2 linked regions of the Rhinolophus ferrumequinum genome follow. The protein of the gene in region 2 interacts with the protein of the main gene of each other region in a pairwise test. Links are inferred from orthologs where the notes say so. Each region holds a gene or a part of one and is shown on either strand. Other genes may lie near its edges.

Region 1 (6,942 bases), on a different chromosome or scaffold from region 2:
TCAAGACATAGTCCCTATCCTCAAACAGCTTGAAATTTACTTAGGGAGAGGGAATATATATGTGTATATGTGTTATGTGTGTGTGCATCGCAGGGAGGTGGGTGGGAGAGAGAGGGCAAGGGAGGGTAAGGGTGGGCAGGAGAGGAGAGGAGAACAATACAGAGAAGCATAGGAGGTCTGACAATTAAGTTTGCGAACTTTGTTGCAATGACGTTGCTAACTTTTTTGATATCAGAGGGATTATTCACTATGAATTTGTACCAAATGGACAAACAGTTTACCAAGTTTACTATTTAAAAAGGCTGCATGAAAAAGTTAGACGATCTGAACTTTTCAGCAATAATTCATGGCTCTTGCATCACAACAATGTACCAGCTCACACGAATGTCTGTGAGGAAGTTTTCAGCCAGTAAACAGATAACTAACTATACTGGAACACCCTCCCTACTCACCTGATCTGGCCCCCAATAACTATCTGGCCCCAATAACAGATCACCTGATCTGGCCCCAATATTCCAAAGATAAAGGAAATATTGAAAGGAAGACCTTTTGATGACATTCAGGACATCAAGGGTAATATGACGACAGCTCTGATGGCCATTCCAGAAAAAGAGTTCCAAAATTGCTTTGAAGGGTGGACTAGGCGCTGGCGTTGGTACATAGCTTCCCAAGGGGAGTACTTTGAAGGTGACTGTAGTGATATTCAGCAATGAGGTATGTAGCACTTTTTCTAGGATGAGTTCGCGAACTTAATTGTCTGACCTCTTATGCCAAATCAGCAGTTTACAGAAGAGATAATTGGGAGCTAGGTGGTAAATGAAGACTTCGGAAAGGTAATTCTTAAACTGGCATTTGAAGGACTGGGTGTGATGAAGGAAAGAACAGGGAGAGCAAGTATAAGGAGATGTTTTGGGGAATAATGAGAAGTTCAATTTAGCTGGCATTCATGTATGAGAGGACTGGGAAATAATCTTGGAGGGGTAATTAAGACTCAGACTGTGAATGGCCTTAAATATACCAACTAAGGAGCCTAGACCTTAATATATAGGTATTAGAATGTAATTTATTAGGCAGCTAAGTGACACGGTACAAGTGATAGTTTAGGAAAAAGAATGTGGTTATAATATGCCTTGTGAATTAATAGGAAGGAAACCAGAAGAACTAGGTGGAAAACTATTTAAATGTATCAAGCATAAGGAGGTAAGGTAGGGGTAAGGGAGAAGTCAAAGATAACCCCCAAATTCAAGCTATGAAACTGAGAGGACGAGGGTACCAATGAAGGAAAGAGGAAGCTCCAAATGAAATAAATGGTTTGGGAAAGGGAAAGTCAGTATTGTTTTAGTCATGTTGAGTCAACTACCTATTACAACTGAAAACACCAGCATGAAGTACCAGGAATACTTCAAAGACTTATTGAGTCTGAGGTGACAGTATAAGTGATATTGACTAAAAGGAAAGTGAGAGATGTGAGAATTGTTGCATAGATAAGAGTCTCAGGCTGAACATGTAAATCTCAAGTCATCTGTATTGTCAGGGTCTGAAGCTGTGAAACAGGAGATCTCCAAAGGAGAGAGCACAGAACCAAATATGAAAAGGGTCACAACATTTTATAGCCTAGGTAAAAATCTAGGTAATGCTAATAACATGAACTAACTAACTCTAAATAATTGAAAGCTCTTATTAGAGTTTAAAGAAATAGCAAGGCCTTCTAAGTAGGCAACAACAGATTATAAAAGACAAAAACAACAACAAAAAAATGAGCTAACTCCACGAGGAAAATAAATATTAAAATGATTTTTTTTATAAAATAGCCCTTTACTATTGGGGCCTAGGAAAAGTACCCCCGGTAATTACAAGTAAACTTCTCGTGCCCTAGAAAGACTAAGAGGTATTTCAGGAAAATTTTAAGTATCTTTAGGCCTAGGGTTTTAAAACATCCCTTTTAAGTATCTTAGTTTTATTATTTAGAATTCTGAAAGTTCTTGCTAAGTTTAAAGTGGCTTTGAAATGAATAAACCATACCTAAATAAATCAGTACATATGAATCTCAAAAAGAAATGTTGAGTGAAAAAAAGCAAGTCCCAGAAAAATTCATACAATATGTGTCCATTTATATAAAGTTGAAAAATGGATAAAACGAGCAACATTTTGTTTATGGATAAATTCCTAAGTGGTAAAATGATTTTTTTTAAAAAGCAAAGGAATGTTTACCACAAAATTCTGGATAGTGGTCCCCTCAGGGGAAAGGGGGGAGGAGAAGCAATCAAGAAGCACTGGGGACTTCTAAGGTACTGGTAATGTTCCAATTTTAAAGCTTGTAGTGGGTCTATTATCATTCTTTAAACTATATATATATATATATATATAATTTTTCATGTATGAAAGATATCATAAGAAACATTTTTTAAGAGTCATTTTGAGGCAGGGAAAATCAGAAACAGTTTTTAAAAGATGCAGAAACTGACAGTGCAAGAGAGCAGTGTCAGTAAGAATTTTAATAGAGCCCACCCACCGCCCTATTCCAGAGAGATTATTCTACTTGCAGAGTAAATACAAAACTACTTTAATAAGGATCCTTTAAAAACTCTTTGTGTGCTATCAATAATTGGGAAGCTCGCTTTCAACAATGACCCAAATTAAAGCTGCCATTTCCTGCAGAAGCAGTAGGGGGAACTGCTTGCAGCAGTGCCATTCTTTTCCTGTAGTACACCGAATAGGTATTGTACGTACTTGCCTTCTAAATTTGTAGAAACAAAGCATACTTGCTTACTTTAAGATTTGAAAGCGCTACATGCTCTTGGGGACTGAGCAAGTCTCCTTTAATACACAAACACTGCAAATAAAGGCGCTCACCCACAGCCCTTTTCTGAGAACAGGGTGGAGATGAGGGGGACAAGGAGGAGCTGGCCTGGGTTTCTCCGGCGCTGGGCATCTGTCCGCCAAGACCCTTTCACCTGGGTGGGTCTGTCTGAAACATGAAAAAGCCACAGCATCTGTCCAGCTCCCGGGGCCGGCGCCGTGGCCTACATGGCTGGGCTGGAAGGGCATTCCTACGGGAACCCGCAGCGGCGGAGGCCCTTCCCGAACTTCCCCTTGCAGGCCTGTCTAGCCTGTCTCCCCTCCTCCCTCCTCCTTTGTCTTCCCGCTCCCACGAAACCGCAACCCAACAACGTGACATACCCCAAACACAAAGTAATACAAGCCATTTTAAAAGTTAAATGGTAGAACAGAGCTTCCTTCGCCGCCTGTTCTCAGACAAACCCTTACCTCTTCATGTTTCCACAGGCCCCTATCTCTAACTTGGGTAAACAGGCCGTGGACTTCAACTCCCAGAACTCTGCGCGGTAAACTCGAAGGGGATTGTGGTGGAGCGCGCGGCTCTGGGAATTGTAGTAGCGCAGAACTAAAAATACTGAAAGAGAAAGTACGTATTCAGTAACCGGTATGTTGTAAATTGTTCAAGTATTTTTCTCGAGTTTCTTGTAGAGGTTAAAGGCAACACCCAAAATATCCAGCTCATAAACCTAGGAGTCACCTTTGACTTCTTGACTCTCATCCAGTATCACCAAATCCTGGCGCCTCCAATTTCCTTCAGTTGTGTCCCCATCAGCTCTGCTTCTGCTTTCAAAGACTTACTAACCTCCTGTTATTTCAAGTGGAGCCTTTGGTCCATCCTCTGCAGTGTAGCCAGAATGATCAGACACAAGTTTGCTGACTTCACTTATACCAATGGTTCTCCTCTATCTGTAACAGAGGCTTACGCACAAGACATTTATGTCGTTAAGAATCAGAAATCCATACGTATTCAGGCCCGTGAACGTTTTACGGATAATTATGGTGCATCAAGAGAGACGTACAGCATAGCGATTAAGAGCATGGGCTCCTAGTTCCCAGAAATGGAAATACAAATATCCTTAAGTGTATGAAAAGAAAGATGTTTAATCTCATAAGTGAGATGGAAATCTCAAAGTACACTGACTATAAAACACCTGACCTGTACTCCTCAAAATTGTCAAGGTCGTAAAAAACATGAGAAGTCTGAAAATCCGTCACAGCCAAAGGAACCGAAAGAGACATGGTGATGACACAATGAAATGTGGTATCCTGGATGGGATCCTGGAACAGAAAAGGGGCCCTAGGTAAAAGAAAAAAAAAAAAGGATATATGAATAAACTATGCACTTTAGTTAATAATGAGGTTGATTAGCTGTGACAAAATACCAGAGATAGGTTAAGATGTTAACACTAAGGGAACTGAGTGGAGGCATATGGAATTCCATTCTATGCAACTTTTCTGTAAATCTAAAACTGTTCTTTAAAGAAAAAGTTTAATTTAAAAAGTACACTAAAGTAACATTTTTCACCTACCAGATTGGTAAAGATCCACAAATTTGACAACACACTTGTTTTGTTAAGATTGTGGGGAAATAGGCCCTCTCAATACAATGCTGGTAGGAACATACATTGGTACTTCTATGGAAGGTAACCTGAGGATACATTTGAAATCATAAATGCACATTCCCTTTAGCACAGCAATTCAATGTGTATGAATGGTATCCTCAATACTATGCATCCTCAAGTATGTACATGTGTATGTGTATCCTCTGCAGCATTGTTTATAATAACAAAATACTGCAAATAACTTAAATATCCATGAATGTGATACATCCATTCAATGGAAAACTATGCAGCAGTCCCAGAGATGACAAAGTTCTCAATGGAGTGCTACTGAACAATTTCTAAAATGTATTTAGTTCGATAGCAAGGTACAAAATGATGTATATAGTATGCTTCCGTTTGAGTAAAAGAAGGAGAAATATGTTTGCTTATATATGCATAAAATGCCTCTGGTGGTAAGTGAATGACTCCAGGTAGGGAAAATGGATGGTGAGGAACAAGGGTGGGAAAAACTCTTCATTGTGTATCTTTTTGCATTCTTTGAATTTCGAATTATGTGATTATATAACCTAGTCAATCATTTTTTTTAAATGAAAGGGAAACCTTTTTATATCACAAAAAGCCAAAGAATAAAAAGATCATGTGTTTGGGGGGGATCACAATGTTTGGATTTCTCAGTTCCCGGTTATTGACAATATAGCATAATAGGTAATCTGGACTTGAACTTTTGCTTTGGTAAGTTACAAGATTATGTGAAAGTCAGTAAGCTTCTTTAACTGGTCTAGGCCAGTTTCCTCATATGTAAAATGAGAATAATACCTCAGAATAGGGTCACTGTAAAATACTATACAAAAGTACAGTTTTAAAGTCACTTGATAGGGTGGTCATCTATGAGCAAATATTCCAAGGTTATCCAGTAGGCTCAGACTTATTCAAACTGGCCATATTGCCATGCACAAGTTAAAGGATAAAAACAAAGAGTAGCTACTGGAAGACTTTGCACTTCTTATCCTAAGAACTTCCAACAGATTGAAAATCTCATGCAAAGTATCAGTGTGGGTCATATCACAGCCTGCACCAGATAAGTCCTATACAGTAGTGGGGCTGAATTATGCCACTCAACCAAAATCTCCAATTGAAACAGTCATCAATAAGGAAATGGAAAAAAATACGCCAAAATTGCTAGTGTGTTTGTCCCCTGGGAAGGTGGCAAAGACTGAAACAAAACTACACCATCCATCACACCAGACTTGTATACAACTTCTAATGAAACATACAGCCTATTGGTACTGAAGTGGTACACACTATATTGCAAACCCACTAGGTGGGATGAGTGGGGAATGAATAGCTAAAAATATATACTCACATAAGCTAAAATTGCAACTGGAAAAGCAAGGTCATAAGGAAATATTTCTCTATATACCTGTGCATGACTGTAGCCAGCCCTAGAGGTAGGTACCGAGGGGAAAAACATTCAGAAAATTGCATTAGAAGGAAAACCAGGCTATTTCTAGCTCGGGCAAACTTATTAACTGTGGAATAATAACTATTCCATTTCCCACAGCATCCCTCTCCCCGCTTTAAAAGGATATCAGACAGTATATAAAAAGCTTTGAGATTTCTAGATGTTATCATGAGCACAGAGATATTACCATGAGGTAATTTCAGAATTTCACCCCTAGAATAATTTATGACAAACTGAAAAATATGCCGCATTTGTCTTTCTGATACTTTAACAAAGTTAGTTTAATTAAGCCAGAAGCTCCTCCTTAACATAGATATATTTTCAGGGTTTGTCCTTTTTAGGCACTTTGTTCACAGCACACTTCTGATGAATACATTATGAAGCAATTATAATTTCCAGATATGGAAGAAGATGTTAAAGCCAAAATCTTCTCTTGAGAAGGGATAGCATCACTTGTCTAATATGAAGTATAAACAACTGTGCACATCTTTCATATTCCCCAAATGAAATAGCATAGATGCTGTTATAGAAAATAAATATAGCATATTTTTCAAAAGACAAAAAATGAGTAGATAAGCATGGTGAAAGTGTCAACACGACAAATTTAAGAATTCTCCTTCAGCTAATATGTTAGCTAGTCTTTAACAATGGTTAGGAGGGGCTCAAGATTCCAGTACCTAATATAAATCTTGCCTTAAAATTATCCACAAAAATAGGTTATTTCTCAACTTTCTGTTAAAATTTACTCAACATTGTCATGTTGAACCAGAGTCAGAAGGAACCTTAGAGATATACCAGTAAATTTTGTAGTGTTACTATATTGATTTGGAAGCCACTTGCATCCACTGACCTCTTCTATATCCTGGGGAAAAAACAATAGGAAAAAACAAAACAAAACACTAGAACTCTCAGTGCAAAGTCAATAGGAATACTGTAGTCTACTCTTTCTTTATTATACTAAAGAACTTTACAGTAAGCACTTACTGGTAATAAAGACATAAAATAATCACAAAACTTCCACGAAATGAAAACTCATTTGTTTCAGTTTGGAAAACCTTAATATTGTCCAATTCTTTCATG
Region 2 (7,760 bases):
GAAAACCTCCTAAAGTCCTAGTAACCACAGGTTTCAACAGATATTTGCATGACAGTGCAGTTACAAATAGATATTAAACATTTCCAGGAGACCTTATATGTTAAGAATCTATTTTATTACTGGGAAAACAAGGACAAATCTGATTTTATTGGTATGGTTTTAATATATGGTCTAATATATTTCCAAAATCTGTAAGGAACCAGATGGTATGGTCTAAATAACAACAAAGGAGGACTCTGACTTCAAGGTGTCAAGAAAAAAAAATAGTATTAAAAAATTTCAAGCATAGGAAAAAATTTTGAAATGAGTAAAAACTCCTCCTTCTATAAGAGCAAAAAAGTGTTAAAAGCTTCAAATGCCATTGTATGAAGATGTCCATGTCAGAAACAGAAAAAAAAATTTTAAAGGAAATGAGAGAAAACACAAATTACTAGGAAAAATTCAAAACGACTAAGGCATGCACTAAATTGTACAGTCTTAAGTGAGAATCTTTCCATGGCAAATAAACTAGACTTGGATTAATTCACATTGGACTTCTTAAATGTGACAAAAACAGGTGATTTGGAACCCTGAAACCATTTCTTGGAGAAGAATAGCAGCAGAGGCAACATTTACTAGCTTTGGATAGTTTTGTCTCATCCCATTTAGTATGTGATATTTTCCAGAGTCCACTCCTTATAATAATTTTTCCATTTTTATCTAAACAAAACACTCAAAAAAACAAATTTCTAGTAAACACATAATCCACTTGAAAGGCAATTAAATTATTTTCCACTGTCCTAGATTTGTGGACCAACAGCACTGCTCCTTTTTCCGAGTCTCTCCAGGTATACCTTTGCTGACTATGCCATGTTGGCTTTCTGACTCTCAATCCAATATTATTCTCTTCTTCAAATATGAGCAGAATTAGCTGGTCCACATCAGACTTTACTAATACAGAAAACCATTTATGGTCATGTACAGGAATTACAATGTCTTCTCTTTTTTTATCTTAAACAACTGAGTTACGTGGTACATCTGCAGACACTACGTGCCTGCAGAGGCAGGGCTACGTGCAAAGGGACTATTTTGTGAATGCTAAGGGAGTAAATTCTATCTTCACTTTTTAAAATATTATACTCTTTTTATATAACCAATTAAATGCAGCATAGTACATTCTTAGTCAAATTAGGTTCTTCAAAATAACACGCTAGTGGTTTGGAGGTTTTATGTCTCTCCTATTCTCTACTTTTTGTACCGAGCATTACTATAAATTGCAAAGAAGTGGCCCTAGCCAAAGGAGGGACAAGGGCAAAGTCTATAGTCTGCATCGATCATTTTACAAACATGAGAGCTCAATAGGCACTAACTTCCCAGACATGAATGGGGCAAAGGTGGAAAAGGGAAGGGTTTAACTGAAAGACATGGGGTACTCTCAAATCCTCTAAGGAAAAGGAGCTGAGTTGTGGCAGCTATGATTGTCAAGGGCTATGGACTACTAAAGGCTTTCTGTCTGATGCAGATTACATCAGTAGACAATGTTAAGGACAAGCCTAGCTCTTAAAGCCAACACGGTAACATGGGCACCTTTTTCTCTTACCACTACTCATTCCCAGACTATTTCTGCCCTGGTCAGAAGAACCAAAAACCCTCTGATGGAATAGCTGTTACATCCTTTTTGCTTCCTCCCCCAATAAATTCTACTTCAAAAGCCCCTGATGATTCCTTGATTTCCAAAAGCCTGCCACGCTGAGCTCATTAAAGTAAAACGACAAATGTCCACATCCCTGACATATGCTCCTGTCCAAGGTAGGAAATGGAGGTACCTTTTCCCTCTTCCTTGTCCAGTCCAAGATCCAGGAACCAAGTTATCCATTGTTTTCTTTCCAGATCAATTTTTAAGTGCAAATTCACTGGTCAATTACAGCTAAACAATGATCTAAACTTCTTGAATGAGCTAAACTTCTTTGAACACAATTAAAGTGGCAGGCATGTCTCCTAGATCATTAGCCCCTCCAAATTCCTGATGCTTAAAAAGTTGATGCTGCATTAAAATATTAATAACAGGCAGGCCCCAATTATTTTGAATTAGTCTGATGGGCAGAACTCCCGTGAAACCACTCAGTCTCTGCACGAGATAGGAGTCAGGAAGTGCTCTTCTCTAAATCATCCCATATTTTAGAATTTTAGAAAGACAAAAAAATGTGTATAACGATAATCAGTATTTAATACTATGCAAGCATACTATGCAGGAAAAATAAATACTTCATCTAAAACATAACAGGGTAAGACCCTTCTCGGTTGCAGACACTGGAAGGCAGAGTTTGGAGAGCTGGCTGGGTAGACAGACAGTGCTAAGGTGTTTGAAGTCGCTTACTTTTCTCCTTGAAGTTCTTCCTTTCATCATCACTTTCAGAGCAGCACTAGAAGAAGAGGTGTAACAAACACATTAAGACTTAAGTAGCAAACGAACTCATGCAAGAGAACATACACTGGAGGACCACGAGGACCCAGACCCCTTCCCCCGGGGTCGCTGGCCGGAGCCGGGCCCATTCCTGAGCGACCGGGGCTGTTTGATGCAGGTTCCAAAAGGGCCACCACCGCCACCTCCCCAGGACCGTTGGCGTTACCTTGCCTAGCCGCCAGGGTCACCTCCCCAGAGACAAGTGTCATCTCACCGGGATCGCCACAGCCACCTCTCTGGGACTACCTCCCCTGGGAGGTCTGTGCCACCTCACCAGGGTTGCAAGAGCCATCTCTCTCGGGTCACGAGAAACACGTCCTCAACCCGGCCGCCACGGAAACAATCCCCTCTGGGAGATCTGTGCCACCTCACTGGCCCACCAGTGTCCCCTCCCCAGGCCATCAGGGCCGCCTCACCGGGGTTGCGGGCGCCTCGCCGATCTGGCCGGACCCCAGCATCGCGCCTCCGGGTAAATCCTCGGCTCCAGGAGCAGCCAGCGTGGCGCGTGGAGCCCGGCTCCGGCCAGCTACCAGACACCAACTCAGTCTCGCGGACTGCAGGGCGGAGCGCCACCGCAACTTCCTTTCCCCGTCTCTTTGGTTTCTTCCTCTTCTCCCAGAGAGGCCCTGTCGTCGCAGCCGCCGGCCGTGCGCGGTGGCGCCCCCTGCCGGCAGGGGCCGGGAAGGCCGCTTAGGAATTGGGCGCAGCCCCGGAGGCTCTCGGGTGAAAGGGGGCGGTCCTTCCCAGCCCCTGTAAAACCTCCTCCAGCTCCCTGGGGCCGTTAATGATGGAGCTTGAAGATATCCCTCCCTCCACACCATAAATTCAGTATGAATCATTTCAATTTATATTTTAGATGATATTCCAGATGAAGGTGTAAGGGTGGGCTTGTTGACTATCTTTAATGTAATTTGGTTGGGCTGTTTAGTTGGAGAACTTCCAATGTCATTATTTTTGCATCTTTCCTTTCAGGCTGATCAGATTCAACTAGAGATAACCCTCCAATGTCCTGTCTGGAGGATGCAGATCTGGTTATAAACTTTCTGGGAGCTGAATAGAGGAAAAGGATTCAGCATTTAATATGCACTTTACCCAGTGCCAATACCCTACCATACCTGCTCTTTGCTGGGTAGGAGGAATAGGAGATACCTGATAGCAAGAGATAGGTAGAGGACTCTTGGATTTGACTTCAAAACAAACATGGAAGGTGGTGGTGCCACAGAGACATAAATAAGGGTGGGGGCCAGAGCAGCAACTCTTAGAGGAAACAGAAACCATTCAGTGAGGAGAAAACGTTTTTAAAAATTATATGGGGGCAGCTGGATGGCTCAGTTGGTTAGAGCACGAGCTCTGAACAACATGGTTGCCGGTTTGATTCCCACATGGGCCAGTGAGCTGCACCCTCCACAACTAGATTGAAGAAAACGAGCTGCCACTGAGCTTCTAAGGGTTGGCCAGATGGCTAAGTTGGTTAGAATGCAAGCTCTAAACAACAAGGTTGCCGGTTCAATTCCCACATGGGATGGTGGGCTGTGCCCCCTGCAACTAAAGATTGAAACCGGCAACTGAATGTGGAGTTGAGCTGTGCCCTCCACAACTAGACTGAAGGACAACGACTTGGAGCTGATGGGCCCTTGCGAAACACATTGTTCCCCAATATTCCCAATAAAAAGAAAATTATATATATAATCAGTATCCTGAGATATCAGATACCATTGCAACCATAATATAACAGAATATATATATATATATATATATATACATATATACATATATATATATATATGATAGCAGAAATGAAAAGTTCAGTAAAAGTTGGAAGATAAATGTCGGGAAATATTCTAGGGGAAAAACAAACAAAAGAACAAAGAAATGAAAAATACAAAAGAAAAATAATAAATTAGAGGACCACTCCAGGGGACCCAAAATCTGAAAAATAAGAGTTCAGGAAAAAAAAAAAAAAAACCAACAGGGGTTAGGGAAGGCATGATCATCAATAAAACAAGAAAATTTTTCCAAACTAAAAATCATGAGTTGCCACATTAAAAGAGCCCACTGACTGCCCAGCACATGGATAAAAATTGACTGACCCCAAGGCTCATCATTGTGAAACTGCAGAGTACTGGGGGCAAAAAGATAACCCCTAAGCTTTGGGAGAGAAAACAAAGGCTCAAGACTCAGCATATCTTTCCATTTCTCAACAGTTACAGAGAAAGCTAGAAGACATGGGAATAATTCTATCAAATTTCAAAAGGAAATTTATTTCAAACTGAAAATTTAGCTTTACTAGTAAACTACCAATCAAATGTGGGTAAAAAATAAAGGTGCGTTCAGACATTCAAGGTCTCAAAACATTTCCCTTCTCCTTTCCCAGGAAGCTACTGGAGGTTCTGCTCCACTAATATGAAGGACTAAACAAAGAAAAAAGAAGACATAGGACATATTAAACAGAAGATACGACACAGGAGAAAATGAAGTAATGCCTGGACAACACTGTGCACTCGACAGACTGACACAGGTCAGAAGGTATCAGGAGAAACTCCTTGAGAAAGATGAAACTGATAGAACACCTTATCTATCTAAATCTCTGGAGGAACAGATTTTTTTTTTCCACAGGACTTTACTGGGGAACAGCGTGTACTTCCAGGATTTTTTCCAAGTCAAGTTGTTGTCCTTTCAATCTTAGTTGTGGAGGATGCCGTTTAGCTTCAAGTTGTTGTCCTTTCAGTCTTAGTTGTGGAGGGCGCAGCTCAGCTCCAGGTCCATTTGCCGTTGTTAGTTGCAGGGGGCACAGCCCACCATCCCTTGCCGGAGTCAAACCGGCAACCTGTGGTTGACAGGATGCGCTCCAACCAACTGAGCCAACTGAGCCATCTGACCATCTGGTTGCTCAGCGGCAGCTCAATCTTTAGTTCAATCTTTAGTTGCAGGGGGCGCTGCCCACCATCCCTTGTGGGACTCGAGGAATCCAACAGGCAACCTTGTGGTTGAGAGTCTGCGCTCCAACCAACTGAGCCACGGAGCGGCCCTATATCTTTTAATTGGAGCATTTAATCCTTTTACACTTAAAGCGATTATTGGTAGGTACATAGTTATTGCCATTTTGTTATTTGTATTTCTGGTCTTTATTAATTAGATTATTTTCATCTTTCTTCTGTTTACGGAAGCCCTTTTTAACATTTCCTGCACTGCTGGATTGGTGGTAATGAATTCCTTTAGCTTATTCTTTTCTGGGCAGCTCTTTATCTCTCCTTCAATTTTAAATGATAGAGAGCAGGGAATTACAAAATCTTAATATCACAGAGTCTTTGTACTAGAAGGGACTAGCCTGGAGGCCTTTCATGATACAAGCCTGAAATCCATCTGCTTCTGGTTTCCTCCTAGGGATCCTGCTTCCATCTTTTGAAAATATTTGAAGGTCAAAATGAAAATATCTGCTGCGCTCCTGGTGCCTCAGTTTAGTGTCAACATTTCACAGTCTCCCCATCCTGAGAACCATCCCTACTCTCTTCCAAGAGTCATTCATTTCCACATGAGTCAGGAGGCACAAGGAGAAGACCGGAGGCTGACAACTCTAGGTAGACTCTTCTTGCAGCTGCCTCTCTGTATGTTTTTATTGTTACTTTCACATGTGCAAAACAACGTAGTGGTTAGACATTTACACACACCTCACAAAGTGATCACCCCACCAAGTCTACTACCCCCCTGACATTGTACAAAGCTATTACAATACCACTGATTCTATTCCCTATACCGTACATTCTGTGACTATATAGCTTTTTAACTTATAGTTGAAATTCAATGACATTTACTATTATTTTATATCAGTTTCAGGTGTACAGGGTAGTGATTAGGCATTTATATGATTTATGAAGTGATGCTCCTCGTAAGTGTAGTACCTACCTGGCACTATACAGAGTTTTTACAACATTATTGATTATATTCCCCATACTGTATTTCATATCCCCATGACTATTTTGTAACTACCAATTTGTAAATATTTTCTAATCCCCTCACCTTTTTCACTCATCCCCCCAACCCTTCTCCCATCTAGCAACCATCAGTTTGTTATCTGTAACTATGAGTCTGTTTTCTGTTTTCTGTATCTATGAGTCTATTTCTGTCTTGTTTGTTGATTTATTCTGTTCTTTAAATTCTACATGTAAGTAAGATCATTTGGTATTTGTCTTTCTCAGCCTGACTTATTTCACTTAGTATAATACCCTCTAGGTCCATCTATTTTGTTGCAAATGGTAAGATTTCATTCTTTTTTATTGCAGAGTAATACTCTATTGTATAAATGTATCACAATTTCCTTATCCAGTTCGCATATTGGTGGGCATTTCGGTTGTTTCCATATCTTGGCTATTGTGAATAGCGGTGCAGTAAACATAAGGGTGCATATATCTTTTTGAATCAGTGTTTTGAATTTCTTTGCATAAATACCCAGGAGTGGAACTTCTGGGTCATAAGGTAGTTCTATTTTTAATTTTTTGAGGAACCTCCATACTGTTTTCCATAGTGGCTATACCAATCTGCAATCTCAACAACAGTGCACGAGTGTTCCATTTTCCCACATACTCACCAACACTTGTTGTTTGTTGATAAACTGATGATGGCCATTCTGACAGAAGTGATTTTTATTAGCATTTCTCTTATGATTAGTGACGTTGAGCATTTTTTCATATGTCTATTGGTCATGCCTATGTCCTCTTTAGAGAAATGTCTATTCAGGTCCTCTCTCCATTTTTTAACAGGATTGTTTGTTTTTTTAGGTGTTGAGCTGTATCCGTTTTTTTTGTTTTTGTTTTTAGTTTCAGGTATACAAAACAATGAAATAGTTAAACATTTATCATTTATATCCCTCACACAGTGATAACCTCCCTGCCCCATCTACTACCCCTCAGACATCGCACACAGCCTTTACATTTCCACTGTCTCTATTCCTAATGCTGTACTCCACTTCTTGTAAATGTATATATATATATATGTATGTATATGTATATATGTACATACATATGTATATAATTGTAGTTGACATTCATTATTGTTCAGCTTCAGCTTCAGGTGTACAGTGCAGTGAGCTGTATCAGTTTTTTATAAATTTTGAATGTTAACCTCTTATCAGATGTATCATTGGGAAATATCTTCTACCATTCAGTAGGATGTCTTTTCATTTCATTTTGTTAATGGTTTCCTTTGCTGTGCAAACCCTTTTTAGTTTGATGTAGTCCCATTTGTTTATTTTTTATTTTGTTTCCCTTGCCCGAGGAGATATATCAGTGAAAATATTACTAAGGATAATAGCTGAGAGTTT

What was found. The genes of interacting proteins can lie anywhere in the genome.
Region 1: the proteins of RINT1 (region 2) and RBM41 interact in binary tests that used the Homo sapiens proteins (3 or more experiments, as listed by UniProt). The two-hybrid records come from large-scale screens. The link is inferred for Rhinolophus ferrumequinum from reciprocal best matches to the Homo sapiens genes RINT1 and RBM41.

What each region holds. Positions count from the first base shown.
Region 1 is NC_046284.1:47,454,031-47,460,972, reverse strand, and holds the start of RBM41 (RNA-binding protein 41), read right to left. Parts: upstream 3,029-6,942; 5' UTR 2,994-3,028; coding exon 2,854-2,993; intron 1-2,853. UniProt on the Homo sapiens protein: May bind RNA.
Region 2 is NC_046303.1:48,937,202-48,944,961, reverse strand, and holds the start of RINT1 (RAD50-interacting protein 1), read right to left. Parts: upstream 2,985-7,760; 5' UTR 2,902-2,984; coding exon 2,860-2,901; intron 2,403-2,859; coding exon 2,357-2,402; intron 1-2,356. Other genes in the region: serine/threonine-protein kinase MARK2-like, read right to left, coding at 2,985-3,107. UniProt on the Homo sapiens protein: Involved in regulation of membrane traffic between the Golgi and the endoplasmic reticulum (ER); the function is proposed to depend on its association in the NRZ complex which is believed to play a role in SNARE assembly at the ER.